Arabidopsis thaliana: one gene and its partners. The protein of the gene in region 3 interacts with the protein of the main gene of each other region in a pairwise test. Each region holds a gene or a part of one and is shown on either strand. Other genes may lie near its edges.

What was found.
Region 1: the proteins of APA1 (region 3) and BLH1 interact in a two-hybrid assay, tested with the Arabidopsis thaliana proteins (one large-scale study listed by BioGRID).
Region 2: the proteins of APA1 (region 3) and ATH1 interact in a two-hybrid assay, tested with the Arabidopsis thaliana proteins (one large-scale study listed by BioGRID).

What each region holds. Positions count from the first base shown.
Region 1 is NC_003071.7:15,088,260-15,093,989, forward strand, and holds BLH1 (BEL1-like homeodomain 1), read right to left. Parts: upstream 4,157-5,730; 5' UTR 3,968-4,156; intron 3,920-3,967; exon of another isoform or gene 3,857-3,919; 5' UTR 3,808-3,856; exon of another isoform or gene 3,528-3,807; 5' UTR 3,441-3,527; coding exon 2,598-3,440; exon of another isoform or gene 2,281-2,597; coding exon 1,892-2,280; intron 1,808-1,891; coding exon 1,747-1,807; intron 1,662-1,746; coding exon 912-1,661; 3' UTR 503-911; downstream 1-502.
Region 2 is NC_003075.7:15,914,168-15,919,737, reverse strand, and holds ATH1 (homeobox protein ATH1), read left to right. Parts: upstream 1-1,584; 5' UTR 1,585-2,198; exon of another isoform or gene 2,199-2,349; 5' UTR 2,350-2,532; intron 2,533-2,849; 5' UTR 2,850-2,864; coding exon 2,865-3,713; intron 3,714-3,805; coding exon 3,806-4,149; intron 4,150-4,241; coding exon 4,242-4,302; intron 4,303-4,705; coding exon 4,706-4,873; 3' UTR 4,874-5,068; downstream 5,069-5,570. Other genes in the region: AT4G32970 (BRISC/BRCA1-A complex protein), read left to right, coding at 5,438-5,570. UniProt on the Arabidopsis thaliana protein: Transcription factor which may be involved in the signal transduction pathway downstream of the COP1 gene. Controls floral competency as a specific activator of FLC expression. Is responsive of the nuclear import of SHOOT MERISTEMLESS (STM).
Region 3 is NC_003070.9:4,016,194-4,022,581, reverse strand, and holds APA1 (aspartic proteinase A1), read left to right. Parts: upstream 1-1,816; 5' UTR 1,817-2,585; coding exon 2,586-2,613; intron 2,614-2,702; coding exon 2,703-3,055; intron 3,056-3,139; coding exon 3,140-3,200; intron 3,201-3,385; coding exon 3,386-3,480; intron 3,481-3,564; coding exon 3,565-3,677; intron 3,678-3,760; coding exon 3,761-3,929; intron 3,930-4,015; coding exon 4,016-4,055; intron 4,056-4,187; coding exon 4,188-4,252; intron 4,253-4,343; coding exon 4,344-4,457; intron 4,458-4,557; coding exon 4,558-4,622; intron 4,623-4,739; coding exon 4,740-4,896; intron 4,897-4,993; coding exon 4,994-5,113; intron 5,114-5,203; coding exon 5,204-5,292; intron 5,293-5,378; coding exon 5,379-5,463; 3' UTR 5,464-5,870; downstream 5,871-6,388. Other genes in the region: AT1G11915 (wall-associated receptor kinase galacturonan-binding protein), read right to left, coding at 1-752; AT1G11905 (B-cell receptor-associated protein 31-like protein), read right to left, coding at 6,360-6,388. UniProt on the Arabidopsis thaliana protein: Involved in the breakdown of propeptides of storage proteins in protein-storage vacuoles. Possesses aspartic protease activity in vitro.

The sequences.
Region 1 (5,730 bases), on a different chromosome or scaffold from region 3:
ATTTCATGTGTTTCACTAAATTTCATTATTTATTAATATCTATAGAAAGGTATTTGGGCCCAAAAAAAGTTATGGGCCGAAAATGAGTAAAATATATATTAAATATTCGCATATGTTTTTGTAAACTTTTTTCTTACAAACCTCTCCGAAATTAGTCTCACACTCTCACGCAGTCTTCATATAAATATTCTGTCAATGTCTTTAATAACAGAAAAAAAAAATTGTTACTGTTATTGTAAGTTTATCTCTCAGCAGGTGACGCTATTCTACAAAATGATTTGAACATTTTCATTTTTATATATCTTGAAAAGAAAATTTATAACAAGTTTTATAAACGTTAATCTTAATTGATTTAAAAAAAAAAACTATACACAAAGTTTGAAATCTGAATTCAATTCAACAGTTCGTAAGATCTTATTTCAGAGATTGCTTTCTTTGTTTTTTTTTATATTTGTATTGTGAATGTGTAGAATTTTATTTAATATGCTTTTAACACATAAACACTCCTCAAAAAATATTATAAGTTTCCAGCCGCTTAAGCATACATGTCATATTCGGAATCTATACAGCTTAGATCTAATCTGTAATCATCATTCCATATTTGATAGATCAGTTCACTATCTTATTAATTATTACATTGTAATAAAAGTAAAAATATATTTTGGTATACACCCAATGCAAGCTATTACACGTAACTAATCCATATACATATATAACCCTATCCATCCCCCAATAGAAACGAAAAAAAAAAATTACAAAATCGATATACAACCGTCGGCCATATATAACCAAAGACTAAAATTAAATTTTGTTCTTTGTTTTGGTTCAATGGTATGAGAAACTATATACTAATTAAAAACTAGAAACGTATATAATAACCTGTTTCGGTTTCTCCTTCTAGAGAGATGGGTTTATGCAACGAAGTCGGGCAATAACTGAGCCACATATCTCTTCTGGTTCTGTATGTTCATCCCATTGTAAGCCGCGGCAGCTGCCGCTGATGAATGTGCGGTTGTGGTCGAGCTACCACCATTGATGGTGGCGGGTCCATATTCCTCTGTTTCTCCTATTTTCACTCTTCTCCCTATAGGAATCCCATGGTGGGTCTGCATGAAACCCTGATGGTGCGTGGACGACAAGCTATCACAATGAGGTAAACCTAACGTGAGGGACACGCCATTGTTGTTTCCTGAGTACCTTTGCGCCATGAGCTCCTGGTCTGAGACTACATCAAATCTTGACATCTCATCCATTTGGTATTGCCCGAAATTACCCATGAAAGGGTAGCCACCATCTGATCTTATCCCTTGCCGTTCTTCTAGAATCTTCATCGTGAGCTTCTCGTTGGAGCTGAAATCCGCATTTATTGGCTGCATCATTGTCTCGTCGCTGGTTCTTAGTCTCTTGGGGCTTCCTTGCATTCCAGTGACGCCTTCTAGGTCACCGTTGTGATTGGGATTCATATGGTAATTAGTGTCCGCCATTGGGCTCTTTTCTTGGTTACTTGTTGACTTTGAAGCAGAATCTTCGTTGCTTTGATCCAAAGGAGTCTTTTCCATGGATCCCATGTTCTTTGCCTGCTCCTTCATTTCCTCCATGTACATCTCCTCCACCATTGGTTTCCATAACCGAACTCTCGCGTTTATAAACCAGTTCGACACCTAAATAATTAAAGAAAATAAATTTACTTAAAAACGCTTTCTTAAGTAACCTAATAACACAAGAAAGAATCATTTTGAAACGTACCTGGCTACGAGTGAGTCCTGTTTGCTTAGCTAGCATGTGCTTGTCCGAATCCTTAGGGTATCTAATTAAAAGAAAGACAACTTAGAGACTGAGTTTGTGTTCCAGTGATGAAAAGTAGTGCATGTGTGTATAGTGGGTTACTTACGGATGAAGAAAGTGTTCGAAGAGCCAAGCACGGAGAACTGAGACGGCTCGTTCTGGGAGACCACGTTGAGGTCTCCAAGCATTATTGGAAGGATGTTGAATCATTCCCAGTTGTTGAAGAGCTCTTTGCTGTCTCAAGTGGTGGTCCACGAACTTGAGCCTCGACCCCTCAAACCTCCCAACACCAGACACTGAATCTTCCTCCCCAAGACTCTTGTTGGCCGCTTTTATCTGACCAGCGATCGCCTCTTTCAAGCAACGGAACTGTCTTGATATGGTTTTCAATGCTAGCGACGTGTATGACTTCGCTGATCCTATCCCTGCCGCTTGCTCGAACGAAGAGATCACCATCTGCATCTGCTGGTGGTACTGTCTATATCTCTGCTCCACCTTTTCATTTTTCAACCAACAAAGTAACGTGAGTCTTATGAACATAAGTGTACGGTCTACATAAATATAATCTATAAAAGTTGTTAGTCTTTACTAAGAGAGGGACAAAAAAAAAAAGATTTCATCAATCTTGTAAGTTGTCAATTTGAGAAATCGGAAGAGCAAAAAAAAAAAAGGATAGCTTAATATACATATAAAATGAATTGTGAAAATGACTGAAAATCTTAGGGACAGAACTTTTAAGTCCACTTCATGTGTGATATAAGAGAGCACTCAGTATATGTAGGCTTATTGTATATAATACGTATTGTTGTTACCTCATGAAGCATGTTACTAAGTTTTGCTTTCTTCATCTGTATTTCTTGTCTCTCTGCCGTGCCTAGCTCCACCGGACGTTTCCCGGCTGCTTCTGCTCCGCCACCGGAACCTTCTCCTCCAGCGCCGGCCGATGATTCTCCGACAGGTTTATCATTTCCGCAACTACCCTTTTTCGATGAGAATAGTTGGGATTTAGCGTTCATGTCATCGGAATCAGCGTTGACTACTTCGTCAAGAAGCTCTTGTGCTGCCTTCAAGTACTTGGAGCTAACAAGATTAGCTATACCGTTTGTTACCCCCGATCCTGTAGAGCCAGACCCGACCCGGATATCTTCTCCATGTCCGGACCCGAATCCGACGTGAATAGGCTGGTGTTGTTGATGATGTTGCTGTTGCTGCTGCTGTTGAGACGAGAGGGTTAAAGAGAGGCCTTGCTGCGCGCGTGGCGTCTCACACGCGGCTTGCTGGTGAGTGGGATCCACTTGGTGGCTACCGTAGAGACTGTACTGCACGCGCGGAGGATAACCGTGAAGTACGGAGATGTTGTCGGCGGCTGTAATGGAAGCAGCTTCGTGACCTGAGAGTGGTATTCCGACGAACTGCTGGCTCGCGTTTGGCTGCGGCGCGTGGGAATCGAGGAAAACGAAACTACTGTTGTTGTTGTTTGTGTTTGTGTTTGTGTTGTTGTTGTTGCTATTGTTGCTGTTGTTGTTGTTGTTCGAGTCGTTGTCTTGTTGGGTGTACTGAACGTAAGTAGTTGGATTCATGAGGATCAACGTTTGAAGACCACCGTCGGATCCGGCAGAGATCTCCGGTGGGTTTCCGTGAAAGTAAGCAGCCATCTATGTATAATTAGTAGTTGTTACACACGAATGAAACGACGTCGTTTTCTTTGATTCTCTTTCAATTCTTGACCTTCTTTCACCAAGCTGATTGATATCATAGAAAAACAAACAAAAGTATGAAAAAGGAGCAAAAACAAAACCACTATAAGTTTAATATAGATCTGTATATATATACAGTTGAAGCGAAGAAAAAAAGAATCGTGATCACATCAAGAAGACGAAGAAGAAGGGATGAATTATGGATTATGAGAAAGAGAGATTGAAGGATATGGAAATTAAGACATAATCATGATTGAAAATAAAATAATAAAATAATAGAGTTAGAAATTGAAAGAAAAAATGAATATTATAAAAGATGAAGAACCTGGATTGATAGAGATCTGAGGATGCACGTGTTTCATGATCATCTCAAGCTGCAAAAGGAAAGTTACATTAGAGAATTTCTATCAAAGAGAAAGAGAGAGAGACAGACACACACACATACACACGAATATACACTTATATATATATATTTATATGCATACCTGTGTTTGTGGAGATGTGTGTGATTGCTATGTGAGTTTGGTCTCTGTGTCAGACTCAAAGATCTCTGCAACTCTTTTCTTGCTCAAAGGGGAAATATAAAATACATTTAAAAAGCTGAGAAATAATATATAACAAAATAAAAATGACTAATATATATTGAAAGAGAGAGAGGATAAAGAAAGGAGAGATAAAAGATACCCATCTTTTCCTTCACTCATTAATCTTCCCACAGTCCTTAGTACGCCACCATTTTTCATCACTTTCTTTCTATTTTATTTTATTTTAGTGTTGTGGTCGGTATATCTTATAACCAAAGTGGATTTTTTGTTAAATGGGACAATAACCAATGTTTAGGACATGAAATATTCACTAATGTAACTTAATTTTACATTCATATATTGATATATACTTGTATCCGCAAAACAATTTGTGTGTGTGTGTGTGTTTACGTTCACCACCAGCTAATATTACTTATCTTTTTAATTTAATATGCTAAATAGACATTCCAACCATGTTGGAATTTGTTTTCAAAATTGATATTAAACTCTACACTTAGATATAGCTTTATGTAATCATTTAAATTAGTGTACTCTAGAGCAATTGGTTCAACAGTTTTTTTAAATAGAAAAAGATTAATGAATAAATTAAGAAAAAGACATAGCATTCTTTCATACTGCATGTTCAAAAAACCTTTACTTCATGTTATTATCACTATATAGCATGGTGATAAATAAGTTACAAAGTACATATATATCATAGGGAGCTAAAATTCATAAAACTAAGTGAGAAAATGTGCATATAATTGTTTGTTGTTGAAATTCTAGTTTGACATCCAGTACAAGAGATAATATTAAATTCGAAATATTTCAACTTCATAGACATATGTATACATTATTTGGTAATATATATGTGATACGTATCTTATTATAAATTTAGAATTGGTATACTTGAAAAACAGAGGAACTTGTATGATATGACTTTGGCCTTTTCATGTATTGACCAGGTAATGAACCCACATATCATAACAACCAAACACCCTTTATTTAGTTATTTATAGACGATATAATTTCATAGATGAAGTAAATGTTATCACATCAAGACATAGTGATATGTATGTCGTGTCCAATTTAGAATCATATCATTTTCTTTTAAAACATTATATTTGTATTTATTTAATAAAAAGAAATCCCACACGCATCTCAATCCAAATCTTTCTTTATTGATATAACTACAATCCTGAACATAAAGTATTCTTCGGATTACTATTCTTGCAGACTTTTATCATCTAGCAAGTTCAGAGTGTACACTGAGGATGGCAACGAACTTTGAACTGATTATGATTTATAAGTAATAAAATTAGTAATGTTTACGTTACCAAGTTCTTTTCATTTTTTCTTTTTTCAACTGTTTTTTTCTTTAATTTCATTTCATTATTTTCCTCAGCAGATTAACTAAGATACTTTATTTACAAAGTTTTATATTACCACATACACATAAAAACTTAAAACGCATCAACACTTTATTCTAGAAAATGAATAGATTTCATTTTTGAAAGTCCTACCGTTAGTTTATATTTTTCTTCCAAACACTCAAATAGGTTAAGAGTATAATATTTTAAATATACATAATGGGATTAGAGAAATTGAAAACTTATACGGAAAAGTGAATTGTGTCAGAAGATCCAAACAGCACAAAAACGAGGAAACGTCTCCTTCTGCAGAAACCTAAAATATTTAATCACACAAAAATCTAAATTATTGAG
Region 2 (5,570 bases), on a different chromosome or scaffold from region 3:
GATAATGAGGGCTTGCTTTCTACATTACTTTTTTAGGGTTAGAATTTTGCTGGTCACTCAACTTGCTAACACACTTTGCTGGTCATTAAGAGTGAGTCCTTGATTTCTATGTAAAGATTAACTTGCTAACACACTTGGTTTTATCAATAAATTTCTTGTTCACAGAAGGAGTATTGCATATGTTTAGGTGGATGGCTATCGATCTTTACGTAAGAGCGATTGACATCTTAAAATTATACGCCGCTCTGAGAATGAATGTGTGTTTTCTGACCCTCAAGTGCTTCAGACACTGAGAATGAATGTGTGTTTTCTGATCCTCAAGTGCTCGACTTCTATATTAATTCGAAAGGAGTTAAGATCAAGTAGATTGTTGAACCTCAGTGAACTAGTTAATGCCCTCTGTGATCATTTATTCCCATTTTGCTTAGTCTGCCTATATATAATTCTAAGTCAATGAACTTGTATAATATTCTAAGCAAGACATCAGTAGCATATAGTATAAGTTGATACACAATAATTAAGCCAAATGACTTGGGAAATTATACGACTTCAGATAAAAAGCGCTCTAGTCTATGGAGTAGATTAAGCATCTGCTGGTGCTGGAGTCGATAGGCTCCATAGCCAACGTACATTTTGTTTCATTTTAGAAAAAGCATTACAAGTTCTTGTTTGGACTATCAGACAACAAAAAAAAGTAACTTTTATAATTCGCCTAGGACCCAAAAGTTATGAGCACGGGTCTAATAGTCTAACATTAATAAGTGTTATTGATTAAGATCGTAGGCATGATTAAAGATGCATTCCAGCTTCAGTTAATAGTCGGTACTATAGTTCCTAGTGTTATTGATACTATTCTGCTTTACTAAATCAAAATTTCAAACTATTAAATAATATAGACTTGTAAGCAAACAATAATAAGGATATGATATCAATAATTATCGATTTCTATTGAAAATAATTTTGTCCTATACGAACAACAATAACTGTTTCACCAAATCAATATCCAATTTTGCTTGGAGTGGCCATGCAAGATACTTGTCCTTGACCCTTTTCTTTGTCTCATACCAGCTTAGAAAGTCATTGTTTAGGCAAGTACCATTAACATTATTTAAAATACAGATCAAGTCACGCTAATACAGATCAAATCAAGTACCATTAGATTTTCTTCTTCTTTTGGTTGTAATAAAGAAGAGCATAATTTCAGATGTTGCAATCTATATAGTCTACGAGTAATAGAGTTCAATTCCATCATCATTAGCCATGATAATAAAGACGTAACACATAACGACACATTGAACTTAAAATAAATAAATAAATAAATAAAAATGATAAGAAAGGAACAATCAAAGAAAAGGCCAAGCAAATTGATTGATATTTTTGTAAAGCTTACGTAAAAAACTTATATGAAAAAAATACGTAAATGGATATAAGATTTGATGGCACAATACAAAGACACGAGTGGTGAGAAAAGAAAGAAGAAAAAGCAAGAACCCAAATGGATCACACATCTCATCAATTCTCCTTAAATGGCTAAAAAAGATCTCACCCTTCTTTACTTTTTTCCCTCTTTCTGATTTGTGATAATTGAAACCAGCACAAGAAGACAACACCATTTTCTTATAACTTTATAAAATTTTATAAATAGAGACACATACATATATATATATATAGAGACATGTAAATAGTAAAATGTAGGGTCTCTTCCCTAATTTAAAGCCTGCAACAGAAATGAGTGCACTTCTCTGTAGTAAACAGTAACACATCGGTCTTCTTCATGTCTTTGGATTTCTTTTTTGGATTTCGATTCTGTTTCAACCATATATTTTCTTTAGATAATTTTACTAGATTCATCTCTTTCTCTATGAACAACATTTTAAATAAATGACATTTTAAGAAAGTGATTATATATAAGATTTTCTTGATTCTGATTTATCTTTTTTTTTGGTCGGAAGATCTTAAAGATATGAAAATGGATTCGTGTCATAAACAGAGGCAGCTCCGTACGTGATTTGGCCCTCCTTCTTTTCAACTTCTTCTTTCTTGAATATTAAAGTTGTATTTTTCCCCTCGATAATACAACTTTTGGTTTGTTTATTTAGTTATAAAATGTTGCTATTTGTTGATCTAGTGCTCTGAATCTTTTAGTGAGGCAGATGATGAAGATTATGAATTTCTTCATGAAATTATTGTAAGAAAAAGTAAGTAATTTTTTTTGTAAGTGTTTGCGTTCATGCAAAAGAGATTAATCAGACCCACTTTTCTCTTTTTCAGTTTTGTTGCATTATTTTGTTCTCTTTAATTTATGAATACTAACTTTATTGTTGATTTCTGCTTTTTGGTTCTCTTTAGGAACATAGAGAAGCTGCGGAATGAAAGTACACTGTTCTTTCACGGAGAAAGAAGATAAATAAGCATTATCTTCTTCTTCAGTTTTTAACACACATTTTGGAAATTTTGATGTAAAAATTCTCTTTGGAACGTTGTGTTGTCTGAAATCTTCCCAAAGGTTCTATCAGAAGAAGAAGGATAAAGGCAAGTTTCAACATTTTTAATGTTCTATGGACATTTGTAGTAATCTAAAGCTTTCTTTTTTACTTATTAGTTCACTGTTTATCACAGATAGCTTTGAGATATTATTGGTCTGTGTATCATTGAGCCTAGTTACGGCTTCATTAACTCATGTTTCGGTTCTTTATATATTTTAATGAAATATTTAATGACATAGTGAGCGATGTTCTCTGTCTCTTGCAGCATTTTACATTTAGTACTATTCTCCAAAGATTTGGTTTCTTAGATTTTCTGAAATCTTTTGTCTAAGTCTTAAATACTTGTCTTCTTTGGTAATGCAGTTTCATAGAAACCCAATGGACAACAACAACAACAACAACACTTTTAGTTCTCTGGATAATGTCATGACTAACCAAAATCCTCTTCTCATGGATTTTATACCTTCAAGAGAAGATTCAACTTCATTCTCAACAATGCTTCCATGGAATACCATCAGATCAGATCCTCTACAAATGGGTGGCTTTGATATTTTCAATTCTATGCTGACTAACAAATACTTATCATCTTCTCCACGGTCTATCGATGTTCAAGATAACCGCAATGTTGAGTTCATGGCTCCTCCTCCTCATCCTCCTCCACTTCATCCTTTGGATCATTTAAGACACTATGATGATTCCTCAAACAACATGTGGGGTTTTGAAGCAAATAGTGAGTTTCAGGCATTTTCAGGTGTAGTTGGTCCAAGTGAACCAATGATGTCTACATTCGGTGAAGAAGATTTCCCGTTTCTAATTTCGAATAAAAGAAACAATGAGCTTTCATTGAGTCTTGCATCAGATGTTTCTGATGAATGCTCGGAGATAAGTCTTTGTGCAGCTACAAGATTAGCCTCAGAGCAAGCTTCTTGCAGCAGCAAAGACATTTCTAATAACGTTGTTACTCAAGGTTTCTCTCAACTTATATTTGGCTCAAAATACCTTCACTCTGTTCAAGAAATACTATCTCATTTCGCCGCATACTCGCTCGATTATTCATCTCGAGGAACCGAGTCAGGAGCTGCTAGTTCAGCCTTTACTTCACGTTTTGAGAATATAACTGAGTTTCTTGATGGTGATTCTAATAACTCGGAGGCGGGTTTCGGATCTACATTTCAAAGGAGAGCATTAGAAGCAAAGAAAACCCATCTCTTGGATCTTCTTCAAATGGTATGTAATATATTCATTCACTTTTTTTGCATAAGTTAAAAAAATGGTTTGATATATATGATGAAGTTTTATGAGTTGATATTTCTCTTCAGGTGGATGATCGATATAGTCATTGCGTAGATGAGATTCATACGGTTATATCAGCGTTCCATGCTGCAACCGAGTTAGATCCACAGTTACACACCCGGTTTGCCCTCCAAACCGTTTCCTTCTTATACAAGAACCTGAGAGAGAGAATCTGCAAGAAGATAATCTCTATGGGATCTGTATTGGAGAGAGGCAAAGACAAGACTCAAGAAACCTCTATGTTCCACCAGCATTGCCTTCTTCAGCAGCTGAAACGAAAGAACCATCAGATTTGGAGACCTCAACGAGGTTTGCCTGAGAAATCTGTTTCGGTTCTACGGAATTGGATGTTCCAAAACTTCCTTCACCCGTAACAATCCTTACTCTTCTTAACTATCTACTTTATGATGATGACATTGTTAACTCGATTTTATAAGCAAAGTTATGTTTTATTTAATGCAGTTACCCGAAAGATTCGGAGAAACATCTTCTAGCTATACGAAGTGGCTTGACAAGAAGTCAGGTAATGTCTCATGTTTGTTTTCTTATGCAATGACTCATTGATAACAAGCTTTGTTTTCTTATGCAATGACTCATTGATAAGATCTTTGTTTTCTTATGCAATGACTTATTGATAACATCTTTGCTCACAATGATAGCAAATATGGTATTCAAATGAGTAATATATATCTTGACATACTAGTCATGTCTGAAAAACCGGTATTGGTTATTTTAAGATGAGATTAGGGCTAGGAAAAAATCAAGCTTTTCTCTTGAACTACAAATGAGACTAGATTATGTATTCTTGAATTCACAATAATGTTACTCAAGTCCTAGGATTGTAGTCGCACATATGTTTTGTTACTGAAGTAAGTTAAAGCGGGCAAATGATATAGAGTGTGTCTCTTTGTTGTGTGTGATTAAAGGTATCAAACTGGTTTATAAATGCGCGGGTTAGGCTATGGAAGCCGATGATAGAAGAGATGTATGCGGAAATGAACAAGAGGAAGCTCAATAACAGTCACATTCAACCCAACGGACCAACTCTTCGAATGCCAAAATCTGTTATGATGAGCCAAGCAATGCATAAATAAGACAACAATTGTGTTTACCAACTTTGTGATAATTAGGCAATTGCTACTCTATGATTGCCCAAAACCTAAACCATGTACGACTATCATTACGTATGTTATAATTGTATATACAACTCCTTTATCTTTGACTATTTCATTTTATTATCCTGTATTCTTATATCATAATTATCATCATCCTCATTAAACTTCATGATCACCATTTTTACGTAAAAATAAAATTAAGTTCATGAAAATATATAAAAAGTATGTAACCACTGAAGATTTATTTTCATATTTATTCAAACAAACTACAAAATACAAACCTAAAGTTTTATTTCACCGTTTGCATTTAACTTTTTTTCTCTTACAAGTGAGTTTTATTATTCCAAAAACTGAAATGAATAATGACGAAAATCTCCTAGCAAGCGACGTCGTATTTTGGTTTGACTTGAGAATCTTCGGTCAACTAATAAAAACGCAGCGTTTTCATCTGGTACGGACACAATTAGAAATAGAAAGTAGGAAAAGGAAGACACTTTGCTAAAACTGAGGAAGAAAGTGTAAAGACGGAGCCTTTTACGGCGAATGGAGGAAGACAGAGCCACCATGACCGGAGCTGTAGCCACTCGAGACTCGGTGGAACCCAGCGAAGACATACTCATATGCGTCGATGTTGATGCGGAATCGACGGTGGAGATGAAGACCACTGGAACTAACG
Region 3 (6,388 bases):
AACCCACAAACTCCACCACCTTTAGTCGTTTCTTGGCAAAGAAGGCACTTCATTGTCACTGGAAATTCGTAATCAACCCTTATCCCGTACTCTGGAAACTGATCATACGGTGCATTCTCCACACCTGTACTCCTCCAATACACACTTGTATACGTCGCACAGTCCTGCAGCATGAGCCTAAGAGATTGAGTCGCTTTAGGGTAATACGAACAACAAGAAACCCTAGATCCCAAAGCAGAGCCACATTCAGGCAAATGTCTGCATAGATAGCTAGAACTATCGCAGGACGAGTCACATCTATCTGGAAACCTTTCGCAGAAGAGCGGTTTTGGTTCGACGATAACTTTATCGGTGTTGCAGTTGAAGAACAAGTAGTCGTTTTGAGGAGAGACAGTGAAGTGTGTACTTGAATCGATGCTAAAAGATCTAGTGGGTCGAAAATTGTCTCGATCTTGACAGTTCCACATGAATGGATCGGAGACAAGAAGGTGAGGATCAGAGTAGCTTATAGATTTAACAGGGTATTTACCAGATGGTGTTCTAAGTTCGAGCTTGGTATCGTTGTCGGAGCAAATGAGCATGTGTCTGTAATAAGGGCTACCACAACCGTCGTCGATGGAAAAAGGGTAATTTATCGGAATGTTGCCGCAAGAAGATCTGCAGAGATTTGATTGGGATGATGTTGTTGATGATTGAAGAAGGATGGTCATGAGAAGGGAGAAGAAGATAATGTAAGAGTGAAGTGGAGACATTGTTCAAAAATTAGGAGTTTAGATTTGATTATTGGGTAGTTTTTAGTTATGAGATTATAATTTGGTGGTGTGAAGTGTTGAGTAAGCTTGGAATGTCTTGTTAAAGAGTTTAAGAATCAATCTTGTCATGTGCTTGTTAATATTGCTTATTTTAGGTTTCGGTTTGTTTTTAAAATTTCACCTTTCTTTTTAGTATAAAGTATTCCAAGAGGACTCGTGGTTTTGTTTCAGATTATTTGAAATATTTACATACAATATGTCAACAAACGTACTATTCTTTTTTCTGATATTTTACAACAAAATTTGTTCTTTAACATGTTATCTAAAAACCATTTAACAAAAAAAATAAAATGTATGAGAACCTTATAAAATACAAAATAGTAATTTCAGTATATAATAGTTTTGAATTTTCTTTTATTTAGAATTTCGTTTAAAGGGTTGTGATTTGTGAAGTAATCTTTGGAAGATAATCTCAATGTAAACAACACATTGGGCTTCTCATAGGCCCAATATAAACAACACATTGATCATTATCCATGTAAGGTGAACTCTTTAATCGAAACCGTTCAATTTCAGTCATCTCAATCCAACGGTTAGTATTCCAAGGAGCACGTAATCCACTCTAAATTCGTAAACACGTGATTTCTCACTAAATATAAAACTTGATACGTTACGCCTTCCTATCCATCCGTCAACGATTAAATCCAATCGTTCAATATAGAGATCCAACGGCTAATAACGAAACATTAGCCCACACGAAATCTCCTTTTTTTTTTTGACGGGATTATACAGTGGGCCTCCACCTGTAATTGTCCATTTAGGAGACAGCGCGGTTAATTTAGCATTATCCCTCCTCACAGTCATCTCTTTCTTCGCAAATAAATGTAACCATCTCTCTTCTCGTTTTCTTCAACAAAAATCCTCATTTCTCTGAGAATCTGGTGCTTTAGCTTTGGTGAGCTCTCTTTCTTATGAAACTTATCGATTCTCTTCTCGTTGATTGTCTTATACTTTTAGTTCTCTGCTTAATTTATTGTCCTTAATACTCGTGGATTTGTTCATAAATCGTTTTCTGAGCAGTTAGGTAAGAGTTTTGTTACCGAATTTCATGTTCTTCGATTTTGAATCTGGATGATTGTATGATGTGATTAGTAGACTCGCTTAGATTTTGTGATCTGTGTATGGTTTGTGGCTAATTTTGGTTTCATCGGTGGTATGAATTTATTTGGGGTTTTAGGTTTGTTTGATTACGTAATCGGACTGTTTACTTGAAGATTTATCGATTATAGTTGTGATCGTTTTTAGTTGATTGAGAAGAAGAAAATAAATTTCATGCTCTTGTTATTGTCGCGATTGTGGCGATTTTCAGTGTCTTATGAATCAATTATGTTGCATGTGAGTCTTGGTGCAATTGAGATTGTTTCCTTTTTTTACTAGATTGCTTGTCTTATTGAACAAAACTTTCCATTTATGTTGAAAAGGTTTATAGGAACGGATGTTTAGGGTTTTGTTGTAATCTGGGTATTTGCTTTCTGATTTCGGCAAGCAAATGTCGATTTCAAGGTTTATATCACTTTCTCTAGCAAAAGAAGTCTTTAGTCATTTGCAAAGTCAAGAGAGTTTTTACTTTATTTATTGCTTCCACGCTATTGCTTCGTGGCTGATTGAGAGAGACCAATTAAACTAATAATTTGTAGTTTGTACAATATATTGCGTGTAACATTGTCCTTCGTTATCTGTTTGAGGAGGAGGACCGAGTTAGCCTATTTTTAGTCACTTTACAAATTTTCTTTTATGTTGCATCATTCAATATGAACTCTCTGATATAAATATATGTATACATACTGGTTGACTTTTATGGGTATGGTTCTCTGCTTTTTTTCTCTGTGATGGTCTCTTGATTCTAACTTTCTTTGTTTTATGTTTTTGGTTTTTGTTGTCAATGAATAGGTAAAATGAAGATATACTCTAGAACGGTTGCTGTTTCACTCATTGTGTCATTCCTCCTGTGTTTCTCTGCCTTTGCTGAGCGCAATGACGGGACCTTCAGAGTTGGACTGAAAAAACTCAAGTTGGATTCGAAAAATCGGCTTGCAGCACGCGTCGAATCCAAGCAAGAAAAGCCCCTGAGAGCTTACAGACTTGGAGATTCTGGAGATGCTGATGTTGTTGTGCTTAAGAATTATCTAGATGCTCAGTACTATGGTGAGATCGCCATTGGTACTCCACCTCAGAAGTTCACTGTGGTTTTTGACACTGGGAGCTCTAACCTCTGGGTGCCATCATCAAAATGCTATTTCTCAGTAAGCAACATTTGGACTATTGTTGTTAGCTGTGGTTGAGATACTTTTGAGTAGAAAACTAATTGTGTTCTATCTCTTTTGCAGCTTGCATGTCTCTTGCATCCCAAATACAAGTCGTCTCGTTCAAGCACATATGAGAAGAATGGTTTGTTCTCTCTCTTAACTTGAAATTTTTTGCAGTTGGATTTCCCAGTTGGTAGATACTTTACAGTTCACTCAATGTAGCCTCTAGAATTCATGTTAATGTGCAGAAAACCATTGTTAAAAGATGCAACATCACTACTGATAGCAGCTGCTAGGTTATAACTAACTTGCTCATCTTTGATGCAGGAAAAGCTGCCGCAATTCATTACGGCACTGGAGCAATTGCTGGTTTTTTTAGTAATGATGCTGTCACAGTTGGCGATTTAGTTGTCAAGGATCAGGTAAACTATATGTCCGACCCTAATCAGTACTCTTACAACATACACATCAATGACCTCCTTCTTAACATTTGTCTATCTCATCAGGAGTTTATCGAGGCAACCAAGGAGCCTGGTATAACATTTGTTGTAGCTAAATTTGATGGTATCCTTGGTCTTGGATTCCAAGAGATCTCTGTTGGAAAAGCTGCTCCTGTTTGGTATGCCTGCACATTCTTCTCTTGTTTGGACTGAGTTACTACATTCCTGTAGTGTTAATGCTAATATGTCTTGTTTTTTACAGGTACAACATGCTCAAGCAAGGCCTTATCAAGGAGCCGGTTTTTTCATTTTGGCTTAACCGTAATGCAGATGAAGAAGAAGGTGGTGAACTTGTATTTGGAGGTGTTGATCCAAATCATTTCAAGGGCAAACATACATATGTTCCTGTGACACAAAAGGGCTACTGGCAGGTTTGTGATACATCACTTCCTTGTCTGGTTTTCTCATAACGTTTTCCAGTGACGATCTAACTCAAGCTATATATATTTTGTTATAGTTTGACATGGGTGATGTTCTTATTGGCGGTGCACCCACTGGTATGTGTAACACTGATTGGCGTTGTTCTTTATAACACATATATATAGCTTTTCCTGACAAATTCAAAAAGGTTTTGCTATTTATGTTTGCTGGTGACAACTGGTTCTAAAGTTTGAGTTACTGTTATACAGGGTTCTGTGAAAGTGGCTGTTCTGCGATAGCAGATTCTGGTACATCTTTGCTTGCCGGTCCAACGGTAAGCAAGAATTAAAATTGCTTATAGCTTTATAGAATTATGGTTTTTTAACTAGTATATGTAGTAATATTTCAATTTTTTCCCTGTGTAGACTATAATCACCATGATAAACCATGCTATTGGAGCAGCTGGAGTTGTTAGCCAGCAGTGCAAGACTGTTGTGGATCAATACGGGCAGACCATTTTGGATTTACTTTTGTCTGAGGTTAGTGTGCTTAATATTGGACTAGCTAATAAAATCTGTGACAAGTCATATGCTGTGCAAATTATTTTGGCTTACCATTCATCCCCCTTGCGCCTTGCAGACCCAACCGAAGAAAATCTGCTCGCAGATTGGTCTGTGTACTTTTGATGGTACCCGTGGTGTCAGGTAAAGTTATAATCTGTAGTCATTGCCATTAAGCTAGGATCTTCATTTTGGAATGCTTGTTTGTTTTTCCGTGTGATCTGCTCATATTTAGTATGATTTTGTTTATAAATTATCTAGTATGGGCATTGAGTCGGTGGTGGACAAGGAAAACGCCAAATTGTCTAATGGTGTTGGAGATGCTGCGTGTTCTGCATGTGAGATGGCTGTTGTGTGGATCCAGAGCCAGTTGAGGCAAAACATGACTCAAGAGCGCATATTGAACTACGTCAACGAGGTAACCAATAAGTTGTCATTTCAAGACTTTTGTGAAACAGTAGTTATTGTTGTCCTGATTACTGATTATAAATCGCTACTGTGGGTTTTCTTAACAGCTATGTGAACGCCTCCCCAGCCCAATGGGAGAGTCTGCAGTTGACTGTGCACAACTGTCAACAATGCCCACTGTTTCACTTACCATTGGAGGCAAAGTATTTGATCTTGCTCCAGAAGAGGTATGATAGTGAACTATTTAAAGACAACATTCATATTATGTAGTGAATATGACCATCTACTAATCTGTTGTACTGGTATGATGTGAGCAGTATGTTCTGAAAGTTGGTGAGGGACCTGTGGCACAGTGCATCAGTGGTTTTATTGCTCTTGACGTTGCTCCACCTCGTGGACCTCTCTGGTAAACCATTGAATCTATTACTCTGTAGCACAATTTCTTCTTGCTTTCTTTTTCTAACCCTAAGAACGGTGGTAAAAATGTAACAGGATCTTGGGAGATGTGTTCATGGGCAAATACCACACCGTATTTGACTTTGGTAACGAACAGGTCGGGTTTGCAGAGGCAGCCTAAACACGATCGGGTTGGTGTCGCGTATGGTTTTAGTATGAACAATCTGCGTCTCAAGTGTTGTTTGTATGTTTTCTGGAGTTGAGGACTTTGAGTCGTAGTAGAAATGGTGGCGCAGTTCCTTTTAAGTTGTTTCCTAACGAAAAAAGGCCTTTGTAGTTTTGAAGGCATTGGCTTTGTAAATACCTTCTAAGTAAGTTCGATGGTGAAAAAACTGAAAACTTTAATAAAGCCTGCCTCTTTTGTTTATGCTTAGTAAGTTGTATCAAATGGTTCGGTAAAAACGGTGTAGCATAAAAAATTTGAAAATGGTCAAGCTCGCTTTATCTTCATTTTCTAACCACATAAATTCCTACGTCAAAAAGTCACGATGATAATAGTTATTTGTCATATATTGAAGAACGTTCCTGCTTGAAACATGCATTTTAAGTTGATAGACTGTTTGAGACCCAATTTTCTAAAACCTTAATAATTCGTCAAGAGCGAGGTAAATTCCCCAACACGAAGCTTGCAGCATCCTTCCTGAATTTCGGAACAAGTATCTATTTTGAACAAGTCTGTGAACTTATGAGAAATTATAATGACAACCCACTTGCAGCGACTGTATACGTATATGGAAGGAAATAAGAACCAATTCGAGAAGTTTTTGTTGCGAAATGAACAAGTTACAACGAGTTACAGTTTCCTATAGCAGAAGAATTGATTAATTTCTACCTTAGCTAAACACTTAAACAAGAAGCAAACCTATACTTGTTTTGTATTCTCTGATCTTTCCCAATCATCTTCCATGTTAACAAGATGCGATAACACCAAACCACAAGCTCCTGATATCAAACTCGAAACATATATATTCAGACGGCAGAATCGCAAAGAAGTTTCAAGTGTTGGAATAAGGTCTCTCAAGTATTCTTTTTGCTGCTTGAACGCG